Linked DNA regions of Elephas maximus indicus. The main gene of each other region encodes a partner of the protein of the gene in region 2 in a complex. Links are inferred from orthologs where the notes say so. Each region holds a gene or a part of one and is shown on either strand. Other genes may lie near its edges.

Evidence for each region.
Region 1: GTF2E2 (region 2) and POLR2H share a complex: the UniProt entries of both Homo sapiens proteins name them as parts of the TBP-based Pol II pre-initiation complex. The link is inferred for Elephas maximus indicus from reciprocal best matches to the Homo sapiens genes GTF2E2 and POLR2H.

The regions. Positions count from the first base shown.
Region 1 is NC_064819.1:30,728,480-30,735,416, forward strand, and holds the start of POLR2H (DNA-directed RNA polymerases I, II, and III subunit RPABC3), read right to left. Parts: upstream 3,006-6,937; 5' UTR 2,304-3,005; coding exon 2,231-2,303; intron 933-2,230; coding exon 849-932; intron 767-848; coding exon 673-766; intron 137-672; coding exon 53-136; intron 1-52. Other genes in the region: CLCN2 (chloride channel protein 2), read left to right, coding at 4,299-4,367, 6,641-6,797. UniProt on the Homo sapiens protein: DNA-dependent RNA polymerase catalyzes the transcription of DNA into RNA using the four ribonucleoside triphosphates as substrates.
Region 2 is NC_064840.1:69,553,457-69,561,272, forward strand, and holds the start of GTF2E2 (transcription initiation factor IIE subunit beta), read left to right. Parts: upstream 1-4,813; 5' UTR 4,814-5,044; intron 5,045-5,053; exon of another isoform or gene 5,054-5,260; 5' UTR 5,261-5,372; intron 5,373-7,816. UniProt on the Homo sapiens protein: Recruits TFIIH to the initiation complex and stimulates the RNA polymerase II C-terminal domain kinase and DNA-dependent ATPase activities of TFIIH. Both TFIIH and TFIIE are required for promoter clearance by RNA polymerase.

The DNA of each region.
Region 1 (6,937 bases), on a different chromosome or scaffold from region 2:
TCTCAGAACAGGGAGGGGGGAAAAAGGATTCTCACGAGACCACAGAACTTACAGGCGTGTTGCTGCTTCCGTAGAAGTTTCATCGCCCTCAATCCTATACACCTTCCCATACATTACATACTCGAATTGGTCAGCCCTGTGGAATAACAGTGGCAGTTATTCTTAATGGACAGTAATGAACAACAAAAGGCCCTTTAAAAATGGCAACTGGTAAGTAAGTGCCAGTATTTTAAAAACAGGCCCTTTACAACTACGATGCCGTCTAGTCCTTGGCAACATTATGACCTGGACCTGACCATCTCTATTTTACTGATGAGAAAACTCAGGCTCAAGGAGGTTACTCAGCAAATTAGAGGTGGAGCTGAAATTTGAACTCAGTGGCGCTCCAAAGCCTTGCCACACACCAAGCTCCCTCCCAAGACACAAGGTCCACATAACCTAGGTCACTCAGTGGTTAGTCCCTGGGCCTTCAAAGAACTGCAACTCAGAAGCTTGTAATCATGCCTGTCGACAAATGCCCAGTTGTCTGAATTAATTAAGTGTAGCACATTCCTTATTACTCAGATTCTGTTAATAATCACTTATTCCAATAATTAAATAAGAATCTTTCTATACCGCTTCTCTGCTTAAGTCTTCCACGTATATTTCAAGCATTCTCTCCTCCACTCTCACCTGGAAGGCCGGTCATCTGTGGGGTTGTATTCACCATCATCCAGTGTACCGTCTTCATACAAGGTACTGGCTATGACCAACCGGAACTTGTCACCTGAAAATAATGGCAACATCTGAAGGTGAAGACAAGTGAAATGGCAAAAAGCCCCTTGCTATGGTCTGTGTTCGGCACGTACCCAAGTCGACGGGGTAAATCTGAATGTTCACGTCTAAGATGAGATCCATCTTGAATGATTCACTCTCACAATGCAGTCGAGACACTGGCAGGAAGAGAGAAAGAGTGGCAAAGGGAACTGCCAGGTCCAGGGCAGACCTCGCTTTGGGGATTACACGTAACAGAACACTCAATCTAACCAGCCTGCATCTACCAGTCTCTCACCTACGCTTATATAAGGGCAAACTCAATCAGAACTACATATGCAAAAAGGAAAACCGTTTCAAGGGAACAGAATGCCCAAACATGACTAACATCACGGAACAATTTATATAGAAATTGTCAAATGGGAATGTAGTAAACTGTGTAAACCATCATCAAATATAAAATAAAGTATTACTAAAAAAAAAGGGGGGGGGAGAGAAAACCAGAAAGGTACTCTGGTAGGGAATAATATCCAGGTTAAAGGTCTGCAGTTCAAATCCACCAGCAGCACCTTGGAAACTCAATGGGGCAGTTCTACTCTGTCCTACAGGGTCACTATGAGTCAGAATCCACACCAGGGCAATGGTTTTTTTTGTTTGCTTGTTTGTTTTAGCAAGAAACAACCACCCAAAAGTTTAGTCTTTCTGTGCTAAGCCTTACATTGAGGGGCTTATCAGGATGTTTAAGAACCAGTATCTGCCTGAAAGCACATCTCAGTCTCCAGGCAAAGGAAGGGACATGGGGGAGAAACGATTATTGATCAATGACAGAATAAAGAATTAACGTGAGTTAATCCTAACTCAGAGACTGCTTCTTAAAGAGTTAAAAAAAAAAAAAAAAGCTTTGCCCTTGAGTCCATTCCAACTCATAGCGACCCTATAGGACCGAGTAGAACTGCTCCAAAGGGTTTCCAAGGAGTGTATACGGTGGATTCCAACTGCCGAACTTTTGGTTAACAGCTGTAGCTCTTACCCACTGGACCTCCAGGATCTCCAAAGGCAATACAAAATTACAGGCTCTGACGTCAGATCATTCGCTGTTCAGCCTTGGGCGGGCTACTGAACCTCTCAGAGCAAAACGGGGAAGGCATCCCACACCTCATGGGGACTGTTGAGAGGAGCAATTAAGACAAGGGGTGTGTAGGGTGCACAGTCGTGTCTTACGGAGTAGGTGGCGACTGTTATTACGAAAGACGCCCCGGAGTTTGCCAGGACCAGGACAAAAAGCCACCCAGCCACTGGGCACAGCATGTGTGAAACAGGGAAAGCTCCAAGTCTCAGTCTTCTCGTCTATAAACGTTTCCTGAAGGAGGTCCCAACATCAGGGCCTGCAGGTAGGGGCAGGCCACGTAAGCTGGACGACGTGGGGCCCGGAGGCGTGACCCCTTTCCCCCAAACCGCCCCTACAGACCTTACGTACCTCGGTCAAATTTCTTCCCCTCTGGGTCAATGTCTTTCACATCGAAAATATCTTCAAACAGGATGCCTGCCATAGTGAGGGGGGCGCTGAAGGGTGCTGAGCGCGCGACCGAGACGGCGGGGGGGAATACACACAACCCCTCGCGTGGGTTAGAAGCCAAGGCAAAGGGAGAGCGCCCAGAGAGCGGCCGGGAGGTAGCGGGACAGCACACGCGCAAGGGCTTGCAGTACCGGCCCCACTTCCGCCACCTCCCTCTCGGGGTATGTTAACTTCCGCCCCGAGTGATTGCAGCCGAGACGCTTCTGTACTGAGGGCGGGTCTCGGGTCCAGGTGATTCCGCCCCTGGGCGGGAACGCAATAGATCCCGCCTCCGGTCGAAGTGGCACGGATTCTCGCGCTCAGGGGCTCCAATGCGCCCTCTTCAGAGGCGGGGTCCTCAAGAATGTAATGCATGGGGCCTATCCCAGGCTAGGACCTTGATCCTTGGCCCAGAGAAGCCCGGCCCTAGCCCTACCCTTTCGGTCCGCGTGCCCGCCGAGGACACAGTCCGGGCTGGGACGGGCAGAGCAGAGCCCCGGCCTCAGCGTAGGAGCGGGGCAGGGCGCAGTGCCCAGCCACTCCAGCTGGCCCTGAGGCCCCCCGGCCCCAGGCCGGCTTGGCCCTGCTGGATGTCACCCGAGCCGGATCCGTCCATTTTGGGAATTTGCCAAGATGTCACTATGGGGAAGAGGAAAGCCCGCCGTGCCCTCTCCTCCGGCACAGCGTCCGCCCCCCACGGCCCTTGTTCCCTGGGCCCTGCTCCCTTCCCTACACCCCGCCTCAGCCTGGCACTAGCCCCCGCAGCCTGGTACTGCCCATTCCTCCACCACTGCCCTGTCCCTCTGGACACTCATTCTGGCACTGGCCACCCCTTCAGATACCAGCTCTTCCAGTTTCCTGGGCAGTGCCCCCTCCCCCCGCGAACCGCCTCTGCCTCCACGTGCCCCTTCACCACACACACACGCACACTATCTCTGCCCGTTTCCTGGGCACTGCCGTCTCCGCTCTAGCTACCCTACCCCTGACGCTGCCCATCCAGTCTGTGCTCACCCCACCCTCTGCCCTATCCTTCCCCGAACTCTGATAGGGAACGCAGAGCCCCAGCAAGCCGTTCCCCCGTGGCAGCGAGACATCAGCAGCAACTCGGATTTCTCCTTGGGCCCTGCCAAGGAGAAGCAACCTCTGCCCCTACACGCCCGCCTCCCAGGAGTGGCCTCTCAGGCGCCCAGACCTCCCTTCCCTCGGGCCTCGCCTCTCCCCTCCCCACCTCCACCCCCGCACAACCCCAGGCCAGGTTCCTCCAGGTGCACCTCCCTGGGGAAGCCCGGAGGAAGGGAAAAAGAGACCGAGGGTCTCAGCAACTAGCATCCTCCTGTCCCCGCCCCTTCTGGGCCCAGAATTCCTCTCCGAGTCCCCGCAGCTTTGCTCTCACCCCCGGCGGCGCAGAGAGGCCGCTCCCGGCCCGTCTCAGCCGCTTGCCCCTACCGAGGAGAGAGAGGGTGCCGCTCCAGAGAAAAGAGTTGAGCCCCAAGAGTCCGATTTAGACGGCTCTGCAGCCCCGGACCCCGAGCTCGACTGAGCTCCGGCGTCCCTGGCCCAAGGAGCAGCGTACCCCGCCGGCCTCTCCACAGGCCAACGGACCCGCCCCCGCCGTGGCCCCGGGCGCCGTCTCTGTCCCCGGCCTCGGCGGGAAGGGGACGCGTTCTCGCTAGGCCCCAGCGCCCCCTGCCGCCTCTCGGAGCCTGGAAGTGGCCCCAAAGCAGACCCCGGCCGGGCTGGGCCGGCCCCTCAGGATGGGCGGGCGGGCGGAGCGCGCAGAGAACACCGCCCTCGGCCCGCCCGCCGGGGAGAGTACAAGAGCGGGAGGCTGCGCTCACGGCGCCCGCTCGGGACCTGCTGCACTCTGCGCTCGGCAGCTCGGGCTGCGGGCCGGGTCCGGGTCCGGGTCCGGAGCGAGCTCTGCGGACCAGGAGCCGAGTGCCGGCCGGAGCCCGAGCTTCAGCGGCAGACGAGAGGGCAGTGCGCGGAGATGGCGGCCGGGGCGGTGGCGGCAGAGGCAGGGATGGAGCCGCGGGCGCTGCAGTACGAGCAGACCCTGGTGAGTGAAGCGGTGCCCGGCCACGAGCGTGCGCTCCAGGACCGCGGCTCCACGTTACCCTCGGAAGCGCTGGGAGCGGGGCCTACCTGAACCCCACCCAACCTTCTCAGCTGGGGAAACTGAGGCTCGGGGGTCTAAGAAGCTGAAGGGCCAAAGGGGCCGAAAGCTGCTTGCAGGTTTCTGGCCGAGGCTGGGGGCCTGAAGAAGACAAGGATACCAGGTACTTGTCCCAGGTGCCTTTCTTTCACGACACACACACAGACACACACGTTTTCTTCCTCCTTCCCCTCACCACCTAAGCCCAAGCCTCAGCGCCTTCACTCCGCCCCTCATGACCACTCACACGCTTGAACTTTCTCTCCCAGTGTCCCCACTGTCCAAGACAGCCCTTGTGTTCCCACTATGTGCATGGCACGGTGACAGAGACAAGGGGGTGTTGGGACATAATCAGACCCAAACCCAGCCCCAGCCCTACCCCTGAGGCTTTGCAAACCAGCATTAGCAGGAACCCTTCTGCCCACTCTGGAAAAAGAAAAAAAAAAAGGTGGCCTGCCACCTTGGGGGACAGGCGCTTTGGGTCTGGGAATTGGGACTTTTGTCCATGCTGACTCTAGGTATCCAGTCCCCACCTTCCCCCAGGGTGTCCCTTGACCTCATTAGAAGCAGGGGTCCTGGGGCTCTGAGCTGACTCATGGCCTCCACTGTCATTTAGTGTGTGAGAAGGCATTTGCCTCTCATTGTCACTGGGGCAGGGGACCAAGCCCCAGGGAAGGCAATAGTCTCTTCATCTGCTTGGCCTGGAATTTGCCCAGGAAGGTGGCAGGAAGGGAACATCTCAGGGAGAAGGGGGGCTAGGCTGTAACTCAGGCTGGGAGGTGCCCAGTTAGGAGAGTCACTATATAAAACAGGATGGCAGGGGGAGGTGGCAGGAGTGGTGCTGGAGTGAGGGGAAGGGAATGAGACGTCGGGATAGGGCAAGAGGTTTCAATCTGCTCAGGCTGATAGGGACAGTGGTCAAGGCGGAGGCCAACTGGGCACCTGCTTCTGAAATGGAGTCTGTCTCCAGCCACGTCTCCACCTCCTCAGGCTTCCCCCCCTCCACCTCTGGAATGAGCTAGCGCTGAGGGTCAAATGCTCTCCCCGGGTATTCTCTCTCCAGCCTCTCCCCCTTCTGCTCCTGATTCCTTTGTCTTTCTCTCACATACTGATTCCCACCTCCTACTCTATCTGCCTCTTTATGAGCAGCTTTCTCTCTGTTCTCCTCCGTGCTTCCTCCCCATTCCTGTCTCCTTTCTCTTCTCCATCCCTTCTTCTCACCTTTCTTTTCCTGCTTTCTCCTCTTTCTTTGCTGTGTGCTTCGCCTTCCTCTCCTAGCTCTCTGTCTCTCACCCTCTCTGTCTCTATCTTTCCCTCCCTCTCCCCTCCCCACCCCAGCCCCAACAGGAGCCCTTTGTGTCCCGAAGCTGGGCGAGTGGCTGCCAGAATCTACTCCTCCCCACCCCCCCGACACATGCCTAGTTTGGCAGGTCTAGCCATGGCTCTGGCGCGGCAACTCTCCGACTTTCCCTTGTCCTGTCCCATCGCCCCAGCATCCAGTAACAGCCCAGCCACCAGCAGCTCTGGTGTCCCCCAAACCGCCACTGGGCTCAGGGCAGCTCCAGAATGGGGCTGAGGCCACCAAACACTCTCCACCCATCCTGAGAGCAGCTGGCTGACAGGCTGGTGGGGGTTGGGGTGGGGAATAGGGACAAGGGGATTAAGGGGGGTGGGAGGGTGCAGCAGAGTCAGTCACAGGCCAGAGGCCCAGCAAGAACGTGATAAGGATTGGGGCCCCGCATGTTCCTAGGCCCAACTCTGAGCTGCCCCCAGCTCCATGAGGCCGTTATCGTTGACCTTAAGCCCTTGACCATCCCTTATTCCCTGACCTTCCCTCCTCCCACTTTCAGACTCTGTGCCTTAGGTTTTTCAGTCTTTTCCTCCTCTGGGGCCTTCCCTCCTACTCCCCCAAAGTGCCCCACCCCCAAGGCCTGTGAGAAGGGGACTGATTATTCTGCCACCCCCAGAGCTGTGTACCTTGGCTGTCCCCATCGCTCCAGCCAAGACAGCCCTCACAGCCTGAGTGTGCATTGTTCCCACACCTCAAGCCAGAGTGGGAACTGTGGGCTCAAGAGGAGCTATGCAATGTGGAGGCTGGGAAGAGGGGATGTGAGGCCCCAGGATCACTCCCCACACAGCCCACATCTGCTAATGTCCCACCTTCTCCATTGCTCCAGATGTATGGCCGATACACTCAGGACCTTGGGGCCTTTGCCAAAGAAGAAGCTGCTCGGATCCGCTTGGGAGGGCCTGAGCCCCGGAGGGGCCCCTCCTCCCCTCGGACTTCCCCAGAACTCCTGGAATATGGACAGAACCGTTGCACTGGGTGCCGCAGTGAGAACCAGTTGGGCTGGGCTGGGCTGGGCTGGGCTGGGCTGGAAGAGGTGGACGCCATTAGAGCCACCCATGGGCAAGGTAGGTTAGAAGGGTAGGCGCCCCTTGGTTCCAGCCTCTCACCCTTCCCTTTCCTGCTC
Region 2 (7,816 bases):
AGCTCTCTTAGAGGCAGTTTGGAAACCCTGGTGGTGCTACGGCTGCTAACCAAAGGGTCGGCAGTTCAAATCTGCCAGGTGCTCCTTGGAAACTCTATGGGGTAGTTCTACTCTGTCCTGTAGGGTCCCTGTGAGTCGGAATCGACTCGACGGCGCTGGGTTTGGTTGGTTTGGAGAAGCAGTTTGAATCCACCAGGCGCTCCTTGGAAACTCTATGGGGCAGTTCTACTCTGTCCTATAGGGTTGCTATGAGTCAGAATCGACTCGATTGGCAAGGGGTTTGGTTTGGAACCCTTATCAAGAAGCCCTGGTGGCACAGTGATTAAGAGCTGCGGCTGCAAGCCAAAAAGTTGGCAGTTTGAATCCACCAGCCGCTCCTTGGAAACCCTTTGGGGCCATTCTACTCCGCCCTACAGGGTCACTGTGAGTCAAAATTTACTCAACAGCAACAGGTTTGGTTTTGATTTAGAGCCTGTATCAAAGAGTCCTGGTAGCACAAACGGCTAAGGGCTCCCCTGCTAATCAAAAGGCTCGAATCCGCCCAGTGGCTCTTGGGGAGAAAGACCTGTCAATCCGCTCCAGTAAAGACTGCAGCCGAGAAAACCCTAGGGGGAATAGACTCAAGGGCATCTAAGGACAACAGAGCCTTTATCGCAATTTAACTTGCACTCTAGATCTTTGTGAGGCTGTCTTGTTTTCTTTACTAGGTTATAAACTCCTTTACAAAAGGAGCCCTGGTGGTGTGGTGGTTAAGAGCTCAGCTGCTAAGGAAATAGGTCAGGAGTTCAAATCCACCAGCTGCTCCTTGGAAACCTCATGGAGCAGCTCTACTCTGTAGGTTCCTATGAGGCAGAATCAACTCAACAGCAATGAGTTTAGGTTTGGTTAATGACAGAAAGCAAGTCTTACTCACTCTAGTATTTGTTTATCTTTCCTCTGACTCAGATATAATAGATGATCCATGACTACTTGTGGAATTAAAAAGTACACTGGGGATCTCACCTAATATGAAATAAACAAACATAATGAAACCAAAGATTAGTAGTGGTTACCAAAGTGGGAGGGAAGAGAAAATACGGAGTATTCTTGCTAAGAGGACATTGAGTTTTTGTTAATTTCCAATAATTTGGAAAAGGATAGCAAGAATGATTTTACACATTGAGTGTATGTTAACGGTGGTAGAATAATTTGGAAAAGGATAGTGAGAATGGTTTTACAACTCTAAGGATGTAGTCAGTGTCACGTAGAAATTGTTGAGTTGGCCTGTGTGTCGTGTGTTTTTTCACCACCCATGCACACACACAAAACAGCATCGTAGGAGCAGACAAATCAGGTTATTCCAAGACGTTAAACTTCTTCCTGCATGTAAAGTTAACACTTTCGACAAGTGTGTTCATTATTGAACTAATATTTAATGAAAGTAGTCTAAGTAGTCACATTGCATTGGGCAAATCTGCTGCAAAAGACCTCTTCAAAGTGTTAAAAAGCAAAGAGGTCACTCTAAGGACTAAGGTGCACCTGATCCAACCCATGGAATTTTCAATCACCTCATATGCATGTGAAAGCTGGACAATGAATAAGTAAGATTGAAGAATTGATGCATTTGAGTTATGGTGTTGGCAAAGAATATTGAATATACCAGGGGCTGCCAGAAAAACAAATCTGTCTTGGAAGATGTATAGCCAGTCTGGTGAGACTTGGTCTCATTTACTTTGGACATATTATCAGGAAGGACCAGTCCCTGGAGAAGGACATCATGCTTGGTAGAGTACAGGGTCAGTGAAAAAGAGGAAGACCCTGAACAAGATGGACTGACACAGTGGCTGCAACAATGGGATCAAGCCTCTAGTTCTTGGGACTTGAGCTAGCAGCTTACCTGTGGCTTTGCCTGCTGATCTTGGGATGTGTTGAAGTTCACAGCCTATGAGCAAGAGCCCTGCTCTCTGACCTGCCAGTCTTGGGTTTGCCAGCCCCTGCGGCAGCTGCGTGAATCAGGAAGAGCCTCTATCCTGATCCATTTGGGACATTCCAGCTTCTCCAATCGCATAAGCCATTTCCTTGATGTAAGTCTCTCTCTCTCTATATGTAAATACATTTATATGCTTTACTGGTTTTGTTTCTCTAGGGAACTGAGCCTAAGACAGCAGGGGAAGCTGGAGGTTGGCTAACTAGAAGTAGGGCATCTTATATGATTGATTTGGGGAGCATATTTGGCTTTCTCGAGTTGGTTCTGGGTTGGGGCAGGGGATAGGGAAGTTGGTAGCCTTTGGGCAAGTCCTGAACATTCTGTGGCAATTGCTGCAGAGGTTGTGGTTTGGCTTGTTATGTGGGTCAGAGTTCTATTATCCTCTATGATCCAGTTGTTGTGCATTTGTATATTCTGTCTCACTCATTAATGAGGAAACCAGCAGAGTGACAGAATTAATTCCATGAAGACATGAGACACTGGGATTTATATAACTATTGGGGAAAAGAACGGTGAAATACAATTGCTACATTAATACAAAACTTGCTAATGTTTCTCGGGACAATGCAATTTTAAATTCTGAGATTATTTTTTCGTCTTGGATTCCTTCCCATTATTCCATAACACCTTACTAGTTGTCTGCCTGTTGACCTCAGATTTGCTGCCCTGGAGACCTATGTCTAACAGAATAAAACGTTGCCTGGTTCTGCGCTATCTTCCTGATCACTGGTATGTCTGAGTCAGTTGTGGCCGTTGGGTCAATCCATCACATGAGGGTTTCCCTCGTTTCCACTTTACCAAATATGATGTCCTTTTCTAGTGATCGGTCTCTTTCAATGACTGTCCAAGGTAAGCAAGTTGAAGTCCCACCATCCTCACTTCTAAGGAGCATTCTGGCTGTATTTTTCCTAAAACCGATTTGTTCATTCTTCTGGTAGTCTGTGGTATATTCAATATTCTTTGTTAACACCGCCATTTGAATATATCTATTCTTCTGTTTTTCTTTTTTATTGTCCGTCTTTCCTATGCCTGTGAAGCAACTGAAAAGACTGTTGGTTGGGTCAGGTGCAACTGAGTCATCAAAACGACATCTTTGTTTTTAAAACTTGAAAGAGGTCTTTTGCAGTACAATACTATCCTCATTTCCGAAATGAGAAAACTTAGGTACAGGTCGAGTAACTTGAGGAGTAACCAGTACTAAGTAATTAAACACAATTAAACTACAGCTACAGAGTAGTTGAAGGAGCCCTAGTGGTACAGTGGGTAAAGCTGCCGGTCTGCTAATCGAAAGCGTTACCACAAATCGCGGGTCCGAGCAGCCTGCCGCAAAGCCAATACTCAGACAGGAGGAGGTAAGCAGTAAGAGGGCTTTACTGAATACCGGTATTCAAGAGACCCAAACCAAAAACCCAAACCCACTGCCGTCGTCGATTCTGACTCATAGCGACCCTATAGGACAGAGTAGAACTGCCCCATAGAGTTTCCAAGGAGCGCCTGGCGGATTTGAACTGCGACCTCTTGGTTAGCAGCCATAGCACTTAATCACTACGCCACCGGGGTTTCCATTCAAGAGACAGAGGGGGCTAAATTTCTCCCAAATTCTGTCTACCCTAAAGGGTTGACGGGAGAGTTTTATATGGGGAAGATCAGGGTTATCTAATCTTTTGAGCATGTAGTCCACAGATGGTCTTATACGTCACAAAACAACCACAAAAAAACTATTCAACTAAAGATATGCATGTCAGGCATCCAGACTCTCATCAGTATATTTGTAACAGGCTGAAAAACTCACGTAACAATCTCTTGGCTAGTGGAACTGTTTTGCCAAGTCCACTGTGGCTGAGATAGGGAGCGAAAAAAAAAAGCTGCAGATTAAAAATGCCAGAGAGCCTTCCTATGGGTTTGCAGGCTGAAGGCCATCTCTCAAGAGAACAAAAAGAAGAAAGACCAAGGCCACAGGAGCTGAGATAGCTCCGCACCCCTTTGGAAGAGATGGGTACATCTGGTGCAATAAAAAAATGTTGAGAGATTACTTAGAGCATCCTTAGGGCGTTAGTTATGTCAAGCTCTCCATCACCTATTTTGAATAGGGGGAAACCTGTTTGTAAGGTATCATGTTTTAAGAGTGGAACAGGCTGCTCAGCTATATTTTGAACAGAGCCTGCACCATTTTCCAAGGACTAGAGATTAATCACAGCTTATACAGCTATACTAAAACAAATAAGAACATATATTCTCTCTAATATTAAAACACTAAAGAAAATGAATTTTTGCTACTTCAAAAGGTCAGAGGTTTGAAGCCACCAGCAGCTCCGCTAGAAAAAAATATGGCATTCCGCTTCCCTAGAGATTGAGAGCCTTGGAAACCCTATGGGGTCACTGAGTTGGAATCTACAGGATGGCAGTGGTTTAGTTTTGGGTACAGAGTAGTTGAGCTCTGGCCAACTGGGCCTGTTCTCTCACTTGTGAAAGAGGCAGCCATTTGAGGTAAATTCACAAATTTCTGAATTTTGTGTAGACACTCAATAGCTGGCGCCCCTACTCTGGGTTCAACAGATTCCAGAGCACGATGAGAGTAGCAACCAGAAGCTTTAGTTTGCCACAAAGCAAAGGGGTCCTCCATCTTCCTTTGCGCCGCCCGCTCACGCTCCCCCACGCCCCCTCAGTCCCGCCCTCGGTTCCGCCCCGCCCCCTCCCTCCCCAGCCCGCCCTCTGGTTGTCATGGGGATCCGGGACGCCCGAGCCTGCTTGTTACCCTCCCGCGGTACCCCTGGCGAGGGGGCGAGGTCACGTGACGACGCATGCGCGTTCTCGGCCTCGAAGGCGCCGCGGTGGCTGCCGGGACTCGGCTCCTAGCAGCCAGATCAGGAAGTGGCGGGCGGAGCCCGGGGCCGAGTCGCCGCCTCAGTAGCCGCTGCCGCCGCGGCCGGTGGGGAGACCTCGACCTGGCGTGCGTGCGAGCAGGCGGGGGTGCTGACGGCGAGCAGGAAGAGGCGGCGGCTCCGGCGTGGGCGGCGGGCCCTGGCGGAGGCGCGGGGAGGCGGCGGCGGGTCGCGCGGGGCGGCTCTACTGGCTGAGGTAGGGGCCGCGGCCGCCGGCTGGGGGGCGCTGAGCCTGGGCTGTTGTTCCTCGGACGGGGACGCGCCACCTCCTCCCGCGGGGCCGAGCGTGGCTTCCAGCCCCGGAAGGCTGGGCTGTGGCTCTCCCGGCCGAGCACTGCAAGGGTGTAACAGTTCCGTGGGAGCTTTGTCTTTGAGGCCGGAGCGTTCATTGAGCAAACTTCTGGGTTGGCAGGAGGGAAGATGCACCGTCGGAAAGCTGAGAAGTCTCTTCCTCCCCCACGTTCCCATGGGCGGTAGCTGAGGGAACCGCGTGTGGAGTTTCGGGAACCACAGTGTGCCGACAGGTACCTCAAGGCTGTGATTTAGACACTCACCCACGGACTGTTTTTTTTTTTAAGCTGGCTTTTGGAGACTTAGTTTGTAATGATCCTTAAACTTAGTCATACAGTTATAGTTGTTTTCTGCGTAGTTTAAAGACGTTTTCCAAAAACGATACTGCGGTACCTTTTTCAGCCTACTCTCTGCTTCTGTGTGTTTTCTCAGCCTGCCGGCTGTTGGTAGCAGTGTTGTTAGATGCCAGTGACACCTCTGAGGCTTAGTCAGGGAAAGGAGGAAAAGTAGAAAGGCTAAATAAAAGAGGCGACTGGTGTGGTGGCAAGAACGTGGCTTTTGGAGGCAGAAGATTTTGGTTTAGTTTTGGCTTCTTAAAATCCATCCTTGGAGGAAGGCGCCAGCTCCCTGAACCGGTGTGGTGAGTCTGTGTGGTGGTTTTTAATGTAACTGGGGATGGTGATGTGTGCTGTCTACTGTAACACAGTTCAGCATAGGGATGGGAAACTCAATAGGAATGTTGAGAAGTCTTCTGAGAAAAGAGGAAAAGCTAGCTAGAGCATGCAGTGGTGAAAACGGGAGATACTAGTAAGCCTTCTGCTCTAGGTGCCATTCATTGATCGTCAGCAGTACCACACAGGTGGCCTTTGTTGCAGAGGCCTTAAGCAGTGTTTCCCATCCGGTGTGAGGAGCACTTGACCGGTAGTCAGGATATTTGTGGTTTTAGCCCTAGTTCTCCCAGCTGTGTGACTGTAACCATACAGCTTCACTTCAGATTTCACATCTTAAAATAGGAGTGAAACTAATACCTTATTATCTCATAGTGTTGTGAGGATCAAATACTGTATTTAGGTCTTTTTAAACTCTAAGGCTTTCTTTGAATTTGTGTTTAAATCATTAGGAAAATCCCAGATTAATTACTTATCTAAACAAGGGGAAATAAACTGATACAAATGCTTCCCGTTTTAGAGTTTACAGTCTTCTGTTGCCCCCCACCATGTCACTTGTGAATTCTCATTGCTCGTTCTTGGTATCACACTTTGCCTTGCCCCAAGACACTCTACCTTCCTTACTCCGGTGTGATCATTTTGTTATTTCTTGTCAAACCCGTCTCAAAATAGTAATACTGAAATGATAACATATTTGTATAGTGTGGTGCTTTACTATTTAAAAAATCGCTTTAATGACTCTTTTTGTTTTTTACAGTTGAGCTAGATGTAGACACTGTTGGTAGTATCTTCATTTTACTTATCATGATGTTGCTTATTGGGAGAATAAGCAACATCATGATAAACAGGTTGTGAGGACTTTTGTTTTCTTCGTAGAGGTGTAATTCATACTGAAGTCTGTAGCCTTTGATCATCATCGGTAAGCGCTTAAACGTCTCTTCCCTTTCAGCAAGCAAGGTTGTGTCATCTGCATATCTCAGATTGTTAATGAGTCTTCCTCTAATCCTGATGCCCCGTTCTTCTTCACATAGTTGAGCTTCTTGGATTATTTGCTAAGAATACAGATTGAATAAGTATGGTGAAAGGATACAACCGTGATGTACACCTTTCCTGATTTTAAACCATGTAGTATCTCCTTGTTCCATTTGAACAGCTGCCTCTTGGTCTATGTACAGGTTCCTCATGAGCACAATTAAGTGTTCTGGAATTCCCATTCTTTGCAATGTTATCCATAATTTGTTATGATCCACACAGTCGAATGCCTTTGCATAGAGAATAAAACACAGGTAAACATCTTCATGGTATTCTCTGTTTACAGCCAAGATTCATTTGCTATCAGCATTAATACCCCTGCTTCCATGTCCTCTTCCGAATCTGGCTTAATTTCTGGCAGCTCCCTATTGATGTACTGCTGCAATTGCTTTTTAATTATCTTCAGCAAATTTTTACTTGTGTGTGACATTAATGATACTGTTTGATAATTTCTGCATTTTGTTGGATCACTTTTCTTTGGTTTGGACACAAATATGAATCTCTTCCAGTTGGTTGGCAAGGTAGCTGTCTTCCAGATTTCTTGGCACGGACAAGTGAGCACCTCCAGCACCGCATCTGCTTGTTGAAACATCTCAGTTTGTATTCCACCGATTCCTGGAGTCTTGTTTTTCGCCATGCCTTCAGTACAGCTTGGACTTCTTCCTTCAGTACTATGAGTTCTTGATCATATGCTACCTCCTGAAATGGTTGAACATCAACCAATTCTTTTTGGTACAGTGACTCTGTATTCCTTCCATCTTCTTTTGATGCTTCCTGAGTTGTTCAGTATTTTCGCCATAGAATCCTTCAGTATTGCAACTCAAGGCTGGAGTTTTTTCTTCAGATCTTTCAGGTTGAGAAGTTCCAAGCTTTTGGTTTTCTAACTCCAAGTCTTTGCATATTTCATTGTAATACTTTATCTTCTTGACCCACCCTTTGAAAACTTCTGTTCAGCTCTTTTACTTCATCTTTTTTTT